Tribolium castaneum: one gene and its partner. The protein of the gene in region 1 interacts with the protein of each later gene in a pairwise test. Links are inferred from orthologs where the notes say so. Each region holds a gene or a part of one and is shown on either strand. Other genes may lie near its edges.

Region 1 (4,593 bases):
TTATACCATAAAAGACAATGTGAGTTTTTTTTCAATAGATATCTGTTTAATGTTGCAAACTCTGCTATTTCCGCTAACTAAATCCAAAAAAATACAGTCTGAAAAGCTAAAAATTTAATTAAAAAAGAAAAGAAAGAAATTAAATAAGAAACTTTTAACTCAGTTTAATTTCAACTATCGGTACCCAGGACATTGCTCGCTATTTTTGAATCACCCTGTATAGGTACATATATTTTTATAATAATGTTGACAACTTTTGATTGTAAGTAAATGAATAATTTAATTTTTTTGGAAACTTATTTTGGAAGATAGGAAAACACAGGTTGTCTAGTGAAGAAATGCAAATATTTCGACCAAGTAAACTGATCTTTTATATTTTTATTAAAACGTTTTTGTTTAAAAACCCACTCTTTATAAAATTTAACATCCAGTCGTTTTTTTAAAATAACCATCTAAAACAGTGGAAATTGTAAGAGTGTAGAACACTGCTATTGTCAAGAGGTGCTATGAAGGGCCCGTTGACACTGTTTCATAACTTACTAGAATTTGAAAACCCACTCAACTTAGAATTTTTTTCTCTTGTCATTTTTTCTAAAATGTACAGTTTTTTAGCAAAATAATAATTAAATGTAGAAAAATGTAGTTATTTTGTTGGCAACAAATTCCAGCAGCCCCTTAAATCAAATTCAAAATACCCGATATAATCACCGCGATCATGAGCACCACAAAAGACCCCGAAAACAGCCCCACTTTAAACGTCGTCCACGGAATTTGCTGTTCCCCCAAGGGCGGAACCCTGAGCCTTTTCATAGCCCTTTGCCGGTCGCCCCCTTCAAGCTCCTGAGTAACCGTACACTCAGTCTCTCGAATTAATCGGTCGATGTCTTTATTCGTATGAAAATGCGAATTTTCCACATGTTCCGCTCGCCATTTCGCCCCTACATCTACATTTAACAACTGCAACGTAAAATTACCAAGATAAACTTCCAACTTCCGTCACGTCACCTACTTTATCATGCTTTTTCAGGATTTTCCGAAACCCAGTAAAATTTAAATTCTGGTAATTTTGCAACAGTATTAGACTTAAATAAAATTCGCTAAATGCTAACTTCAACTCTTGTATTTTTTTCGCAGGTACGTTTTTCTTTCTTAGAATATTATTTTTTATAGAATTTTTCTTGCGTGGATATTCAACATCCTGAGCTTCAGTGAGATCACTTTTCAGACCAGCGTATTTGCGGGTCGCTTCGGCCAATTTTTCTAAAATTGTGTCAGAAAAATTGAATTAAAATAAAAAACCAAACAGGCGCTACTTTAGCTCGCAAAAAAATCAGAAAGCGTTGGCACTACTATTTCTTTTAAAACGAAAATGCCTTTTGGCGCTTTTACCAGAATAAAATGTATTGATCTTTGTCAGTTCCTTATCACAGTAGGAGAAAAACTGTTCGTCGAATTTTGCAAAATATCGGGTCAAAATTTCAGGCTCAACCAATTCCGCAGACGGGGCTTGTTCCACAGCAGCGTACAACATTGCCTTCATCTCCTACAAATTTTGATTTGTTTAATGAACTACCCCAAAGGCAATTAATTTTTTATCAAACTTACCTCGTAATTTATGTATTGTTTCCTCCATTCTGGAGTTATATGAGCACAGAGATGTTCAGTAAATTTCATTATTAGAATTCGATTAACCCATTTAGTTGTTTATTGTTGTGAAACTGACATTTTTGATAACTGGTCAAAAATCACAGTGACGTCGCGACGCCTGACGTCTAACATGACGTAAAGATTACTACTATACCGACTTGTCGTAAACATAACCTCCAAAAATCGAGTTTGAAAAATCCCAAGCATGGGTTTTTATCGAAAACGTATTATTAATTATTTAGTCAGAACGGTTTGTTATCATTAATGGAATTATTCCCGTCATAGTTTTTATAATTTTCCAGTATTCAACGAAGATAAAAACTCAGGTTATACCGGACGAAAGCGTTCTAAATAAAATTGAAAAAAATGTGTATACCCCCAAAAACCACCCAGGTCTGTTTAAACCACGCTTGATTCCTGTCCCAGAAGCGTTTATAAAGGCTGTTACTACTGTAATCGCAGGTAGACATAACCTTAAACACCTTAAACTCCCTGGATTTAGTACAATGTTTATTCTTTAGATTATCCAATAAAAGCATTAATAGAAGATGGTAAAACGTTAATTAACCATTTAAAATCCAAGAAACCCCCCGTAGAGAAGGACGAAATGAGGAAAATCGAACGCATAGTGTACCAGAAAGTGATGGAAAAACAGAAAATTCCTCCACTGGAAAGTGAAGAAGACAAAATCAGATTCCAGCAAGTGGTGGATAATAAAGTTCGGAATGTTTTGAAATCAGGATTTTACAACTGGAAACCTGTACATTATACTCCATATGAAGCTTTGGTTTATTTGATGTCCAGATCAGCTCCAGAGTTTTCCGTCCTGGCACGAATATTTCTGGAAATTGCTGAAAGGGATCCAGGGTTTGAGCCTAGGAGTTTGTTTGATTTTGGGTCTGGAGTTGGGACAGTCACGTGGTGAGTACAATACGCAGCTTTGTTAAAATTATCACATACTTAAAAAACATTTTTCTAAATTAAAGTAATATCGTTTGTAATAAAGTAAGGATGCATTTTTAACACATTTTTTAACGTTCTCATAAACGCTTAAAATTACGCTCGTAATTTTTATCTAACATTTTCACAATTCATTATTAATATTAATGTTATTGTAGTTTACAAATAGTTTTGGGTAATAACTAATCACTAATTACCCAAAATTGTACCAACTAGAGTTTCTTTATTGGGAGAGTTGGGACACTGAACGTCAAACCGAGCCAATTTTGTATTATGTGGATAAGGTATATATTTCTATCCTTTTTTATTAAAATTTTTGTTAGTAACTTATGTCAGAGGTTTATGTCGAAATTAATTTCAAGGTTATAATTTTTGTCAAATGCATAAAATGACATAATTTTACGTCAAATTTAACCAGGGACGTAGAAAACGTAGAAATTTTGGGATTACTATTTAAAAAAGAAAATAATTGAATACCTACTAATATTAATGTTCACATTTCTGAAATTTTTTGATATTTATTTTATTATTAAATACATAACTTAAAACATACTTCAGTGCTAAAAATGCTTTTCTTTCAGTCACAATTTTTAGTTAAACATCTCGTCCCAAAAATTGGTCATCAAGAACCCTTCATATTTTCTGTCGTCTTTTTAAATTTTCTAAAAAATGATATTGAAGGTGTTCTCGTATGAAAAACGTAACAAAATCGTGAATTCCCAATAACTTTCACGTAGATGCTAAAGGCGGCCAAGCAGCGACAGGTTCAACTTTTCTAAAAATTAGGACCAATTTTGGGTTCAAGTACCTACATATTTTATAAATGCATAGACAAATTCCCAAAATCTCATAGATTTTGTACATAACATTATTTAGACAATCCCCTTTTCCAAATGCTTGTTAATAATAAACGTAAAACTCGTCACGAAAGGTTCAATTTGTCTCTCTTTCATTGATGATTACCGTTTCTTAAAGTTAAGGAAAAATGTTTATGATGAAGAGTTTAGACGTAAAATTCTTGTACTTGCAAAGAAATCTCTTTTAAAATTTGGAGTTCATATAAAAAAAGCAGTGAATTGACGACGACTGCCAGTCTAAACCATTTCTAAACGCAGTTAGTCGACGAAAAATGGAGACATTTTTTGACAAATTTATTTGACTTTTCGTCAAATTTCAAGTGTAACACCACTGATTTCTATCCCAATTTGTTTTTTTACACATTCCAACCGACGTAAATGAAACAAAATTTCGAAAATTGACATTCAGTGTCCCAACTCTCCCAATATAGGAACTCTAGTACCAACATTCTGTAACGTAATAAATAAATAAACTCAAAAACTTGGTTACAATTATATAATTGTAATCAAGTTTTAGAGTTTATTTAAAAATGCTGATTTTTCCAAAAAAAAAGAACAATGTTAGTATATGAAAAATTTGGTTTTGCTGGTAAATAAAAATTGGTACTTTTCAGAAATTTTATAGAAATAAAATAATTAAATGCGGCAAATTCAAATTCCAGAAGCACCTGAGATCCTACACTCTTTTATAAAAAAAGTATTAATTCTGTTATACTAATTAATTACTGAGAAAAAATATTAAAACAATAATTCTTTGTTATAACATAAAGCAGGAATTTTTAATACATTTTTTTTAGTTATCCTAAAACTTTTTTTTATTATACTTGTAATTTTGTATATGTCAGTCTTGTATAACTACAATTAAAGTTTTTAGAATTCTTTACTACGATTTGAAAAAACTTAAAGATAAAAAGTTTGCTAGACTTTTGCAAGTTTACAAATAGTTCTGGATAAATACACAAAATTGCAGCAAGTCACTGATGTTTCTGAGTTTTTTTTTAATTTTAATTCATTTATTCACTGAAATAGTTTTTGTAAAAGATTTCTCTGAAATATTAATCTTTCTATTTAAAGTTTAAAATAACGCATAATTTTTTTATCTTTGTTAGCGGTCAAATTTAAAAAATAA
Region 2 (4,396 bases), on another chromosome or scaffold:
TGTATAATCAAAATATTTTGCTTCAAATACGTCCTAGAGTATAAACAATGTCTACAAAATATCAAAGGTCCAACTTTACTAATAACTAAGCTACAGAAGACGGGAGCTGAGGTGGGCCACCCGGTAGGTATACAGAGTGTTCCGAATAAACCCTACATTAGATGTATTGTGAGTTCTAAAAATGATAGTCATCTGAAAATTTGTATAGGACCATAATCATTAAAGTCCTGCTCAATGAAAATATTTTCAAGATGGTTATACCGGAAGTCACTGTTAACTTCCTTATATTAAATCCAAAGCTATAGTTCATTTTTTTAAACAATCAACTGTCAGTGTCAAAATTCTAATAAAGACCAGACTGTATCACCCTAAAAGTTCATGTCCAACCACTTTTGAAACTGGCTGTATTCTGTATTTGACATTTTGAACACCAGATTTGAAATTTTTTGAAAATTGGACGTTAGTGTTAGTCGTTAATTCGTTAGTGTAAAGGTGGTCTAAAATAACTAAATGTGTTGTTGTACGTGTTTTAAATTAGAGAGAACTTGAAAAATTTGGCAAATGAATTTTCCAGGTAAAAAATTACACCAACCTTAATTCAAAAAAATTGCTATTTATGATAATGGCAACCTGACAGCTCTTAGACAGTTGATTATAAAAAAAATCGACTATTTTCGGTTCACTTTCATAAAAACCATTGTGGTGGAATTGACTAACCTGTTACCATGACAACTCATATAAAAGTTAATGCCAAGAGTACCAAATTTCCACCACAATGGTTTTTATGAAAGTGAACCAAATATATTTTTTAATGCGTTTTTGCATTACTGGAGTTATTTTAAGATAGTTTATATAAGCTTTCCCTATATTTAATCGTTTACGAAATATTCAGGGTTTTTTTTTTGGATTTGTACCTTCCAGTTTAAACATCGATAAGTATGCCATTTTAATTTTGCTTAATTTATTGTTTATTCATTTTGATTCTTTTCAAGAATTGTTTATACAGAGTGCTCAAAAATTTGCGCACCAACTTGGTGGTACTTTGTTAAGAAGCATGTGTACATTCCGGAAAAAAAATTGAAAAAATTCCTTAAGTCGTATTTAAAAAAATCTGGAGCTACAAACTTATTTTGTTAACTTCTTCAGTTTTCATTATTTTTAATGATTTTTATGTTTTACACTAAATAATCGTTTCCTAATAAAACGAATAATTATTTTTAAATTTACTATCAAACAGCAGTTTTTTGAATGTGATTTCATCAGAAGAATCACAATTTGTAGATCTGCCAACACTGGGAATTATTTCCTCGGAAACAGATTCAAAAATAATTTATCTTACTTATTGAATTTTAGAAACTTGTTTAGTTTATAGTTAGGGTCAAAAATAACATTTTAAAGACATTAAATCATCAAAAAAATTGGTAATAGTATGGTTTCTTTTTTTGGAATTGCATTTTAAATACAGCGCTAGTTTTGCCACTATTGCGCCATCTTTCCACCAATAAGGCGAGACAGTAGTGAAACGCGGCCGGCTTTAAAGATTCTTACAAGCAAAGAAAAGTTTGCGTCTAAGGTTTGCGTATTTGGTTCGTTTATTTATTTAATTAAATAAGCATTCTTTTATCAAGCGATGAAGTAAAATTTTGCTATTAATACATTGAGATATATCCATTTCATAATCATGGCTAATGGACCGATTGCTGAACGCAACAGAGGTAAGTTTTCGATTACTTAACCTCACAAATTCCAATAAGTGCCGGTGTTTTTTGTGTTTTTGCAGATGCAACAATTTACGTTGGTGGTTTAGATGATAAAGTTACAGAATCGTTATTATGGGAACTGTTCGTCCAATCTGGCCCCTTGGGTAAGCATAATTTTTGTAATAATTTACAAACCAATTTTTGTCCATTTTAGTCAACGTTCACATGCCCAAAGACCGCGTAACAATGATGCACCAAGGCTATGGTTTTGTGGAGTTCATGGGTGAAGAAGATGCTGATTATGCCATAAAAATAATGAACATGATAAAGCTTTATGGAAAGCCAATAAGAGTGAATAAAGCATCAGCCCATCAGAAGAACTTGGACGTGGGGGCGAATATTTTTATCGGGAATTTGGACCCCGAAGTGGATGAGAAGCTGCTTTATGATACATTTTCGGCGTTTGGTGTTATACTTCAAACACCTAAGGTAGGTCAGGGATGCTTATTTCAGTCTGTTGTAACAAAATTTTAAATAAAAACATAATTTAGTGTAAAAATACCATTTTCGACTAATTTTATTGTTTGTTTGGTGATATTGTTCAAAAAAGTTGTGTTGTTAGTACAAAAACACTGTTAAAGGCCAAAACTAACTATAATTTTTGGCTTGGTTTGATACATCTATGACCGATTTTTAACGAAAACTTGGGACATTGTTTTAAGTGACAAACGTGTTAATGCAAAAATTGGTATTATAAAATTTACATTACATTTGAAAAAAAAGTTAAAGGTGCCTGCAATTGACTTGTTTCCGGAATTTTCACAAAAATCGTATGTACTTATCAAAGTAATGGATTTTATACTTGTTAAAAATTCCACTCTGTATCTAATTCTGTAACTGACATTGGCATACCAAAATTTAAGCCACTATACAAAAATTCTTAACGTCGGAAGTCAGTGTATTCTGTCGCTCCTTTACATTTGCGTAAGTGAGAAAGAAATAAAATTTGGGAAATAATGTTGCTTAAAACCAGTTAACATAAAATTTATAGTTTTATAAATGATAATAAAGAATGCATGTTAAAGTGAAGGTATAATAATAAAATTGCAATTGTGCATTATTTACTTTTTTATCGAAGATACACTAAGTTAACATCGATAAAAGCGTTGTCTCAGCTAAAACTTTCGAGCCTGATATCTCAGATATTTGTCAACGGATTTTCATGAAATTTAAAATGCAGATATTTTAGAAGATAAAGATTAAAATCCAATTAATGCAAAAACTCAAGTCTTAAAAACGAATTTTTACATGCCTTTTTAAAATGTTAAGCCTTTTAAGACATATTAAAAAATTTATCGTCAGTGAAAAATGCTGTCAGAAAAAACTCGTTCGTGGAAGACATCTGTTTCGCGAGAAAAATGAGAAACAAACTGTTAAACGTGGGTACAGATGCAAAAGCGTAGATCTCTATGAGACAAATGAGCACTACCATCTCTCACCCATACAAAGTTAAAAAACAATATTTTTGACTTACTTTTGGTACTGGATGCTTTAATTCTTTCAAAAAGGACGAAAAGACTGAACAACAACTGAAAAATTCTAGACACTTGAACATTCAGGACTTTGGAAATGTTTCGTACACTGCTGATTGGATTCTCTTCAAAAGCTTGAATTACAGCCCCAACTATTGCTTCGTTTCCAGTGACGTGTTTTGTACTCACTCGATTTAGTTCAGGTACGCTTCCTGTGTCTTCAAATTATTGACGATTCTTTGAACTTGAAATTTCATAAATAACATTTCACAAAAAGTCCAACGACACTTTCCATAGGCGAATATTGATTCCTTTTTCAACAACACAGAAATCTCAGCCATTGGTTGGTTTTTAAAGTAATTTCACCAAATTAAAACAATTTTACTTTTCTGATAGCTCGCAAACTTTTGACAGTTTTTTTCAGTGGTACACAAAATGCCGCATAGAAATGCTTCACCAATTGTTTCAAAAAATGACTGCCCAAATTACAATCAAAATTTGGATTAAGTTTTTAACAACAAAATTAATTTCTTTCTTGGATCAGCCGATCGATTTGGTTAATTTTTTGTGTGGTCATTTATTTTTCGGAGTTTAATGATCCAACGGTAATTTGGCTTTATTTTAAACAAAAGAAATGTTTTAAAATTTCATTTCTTAACTTGAGGTCATTTTTTGCCCCTAATTGAAAGACAACCTCCTAAAATATGTGCATTCTAATTTGATAACAATCCGGTGACAAATAACGGAATTGTATATTGAAATGAAATATTGCTTTGTAACATCCTTCATGGCCTTAATAATTATAGACATATGGTAGCGCTCAGCTCCATTTGCGTGTGCGTCATCTGACATTTCTGTCACTACGTTTACATAGCAGGGGCATAGCGGTGACAAACTATCAAATATTTTTTGAGGTTACGAAGTGTTTAAATTATGAGTTGTTACAAAAAATACAGATTCACAAAACAAGAACTAATAAACGCAGAATCAAAAACCTAACGAAACGCAAATCACAAAACACAATAAACGAACAGAAAATACTTGTGATTAACACCGATAACATTTTCGACAACCAAGCGACGACGTCTGTAATTTACTGTCAATGTCAGTTTGACAAATTCGTGACACTTGACGGTGTTGTCGAAGTGCACATGTAAATCAATG

The links.
Region 2: the proteins of methyltransferase-like protein 17, mitochondrial (region 1) and splicing factor 3B subunit 4 interact in binary tests that used the Homo sapiens proteins (3 or more experiments, as listed by UniProt). The link is inferred for Tribolium castaneum from reciprocal best matches to the Homo sapiens genes METTL17 and SF3B4.

What each region holds. Positions count from the first base shown.
Region 1 is NC_087394.1:11,237,753-11,242,345, reverse strand, and holds the start of methyltransferase-like protein 17, mitochondrial, read left to right. Parts: upstream 1-1,765; 5' UTR 1,766-1,852; coding exon 1,853-1,897; intron 1,898-1,949; coding exon 1,950-2,109; intron 2,110-2,168; coding exon 2,169-2,568; intron 2,569-4,593. Other genes in the region: PXo (solute carrier family 53 member 1), read right to left, coding at 696-957, 1,010-1,260, 1,390-1,543, 1,606-1,674. UniProt on the Homo sapiens protein: Mitochondrial ribosome (mitoribosome) assembly factor. Binds at the interface of the head and body domains of the mitochondrial small ribosomal subunit (mt-SSU), occluding the mRNA channel and preventing compaction of the head domain towards the body.
Region 2 is NC_087395.1:2,316,284-2,320,679, forward strand, and holds the start of splicing factor 3B subunit 4, read left to right. Parts: upstream 1-1,533; 5' UTR 1,534-1,681; coding exon 1,682-1,715; intron 1,716-1,780; coding exon 1,781-1,864; intron 1,865-1,914; coding exon 1,915-2,189; intron 2,190-4,396. UniProt on the Homo sapiens protein: Component of the 17S U2 SnRNP complex of the spliceosome, a large ribonucleoprotein complex that removes introns from transcribed pre-mRNAs.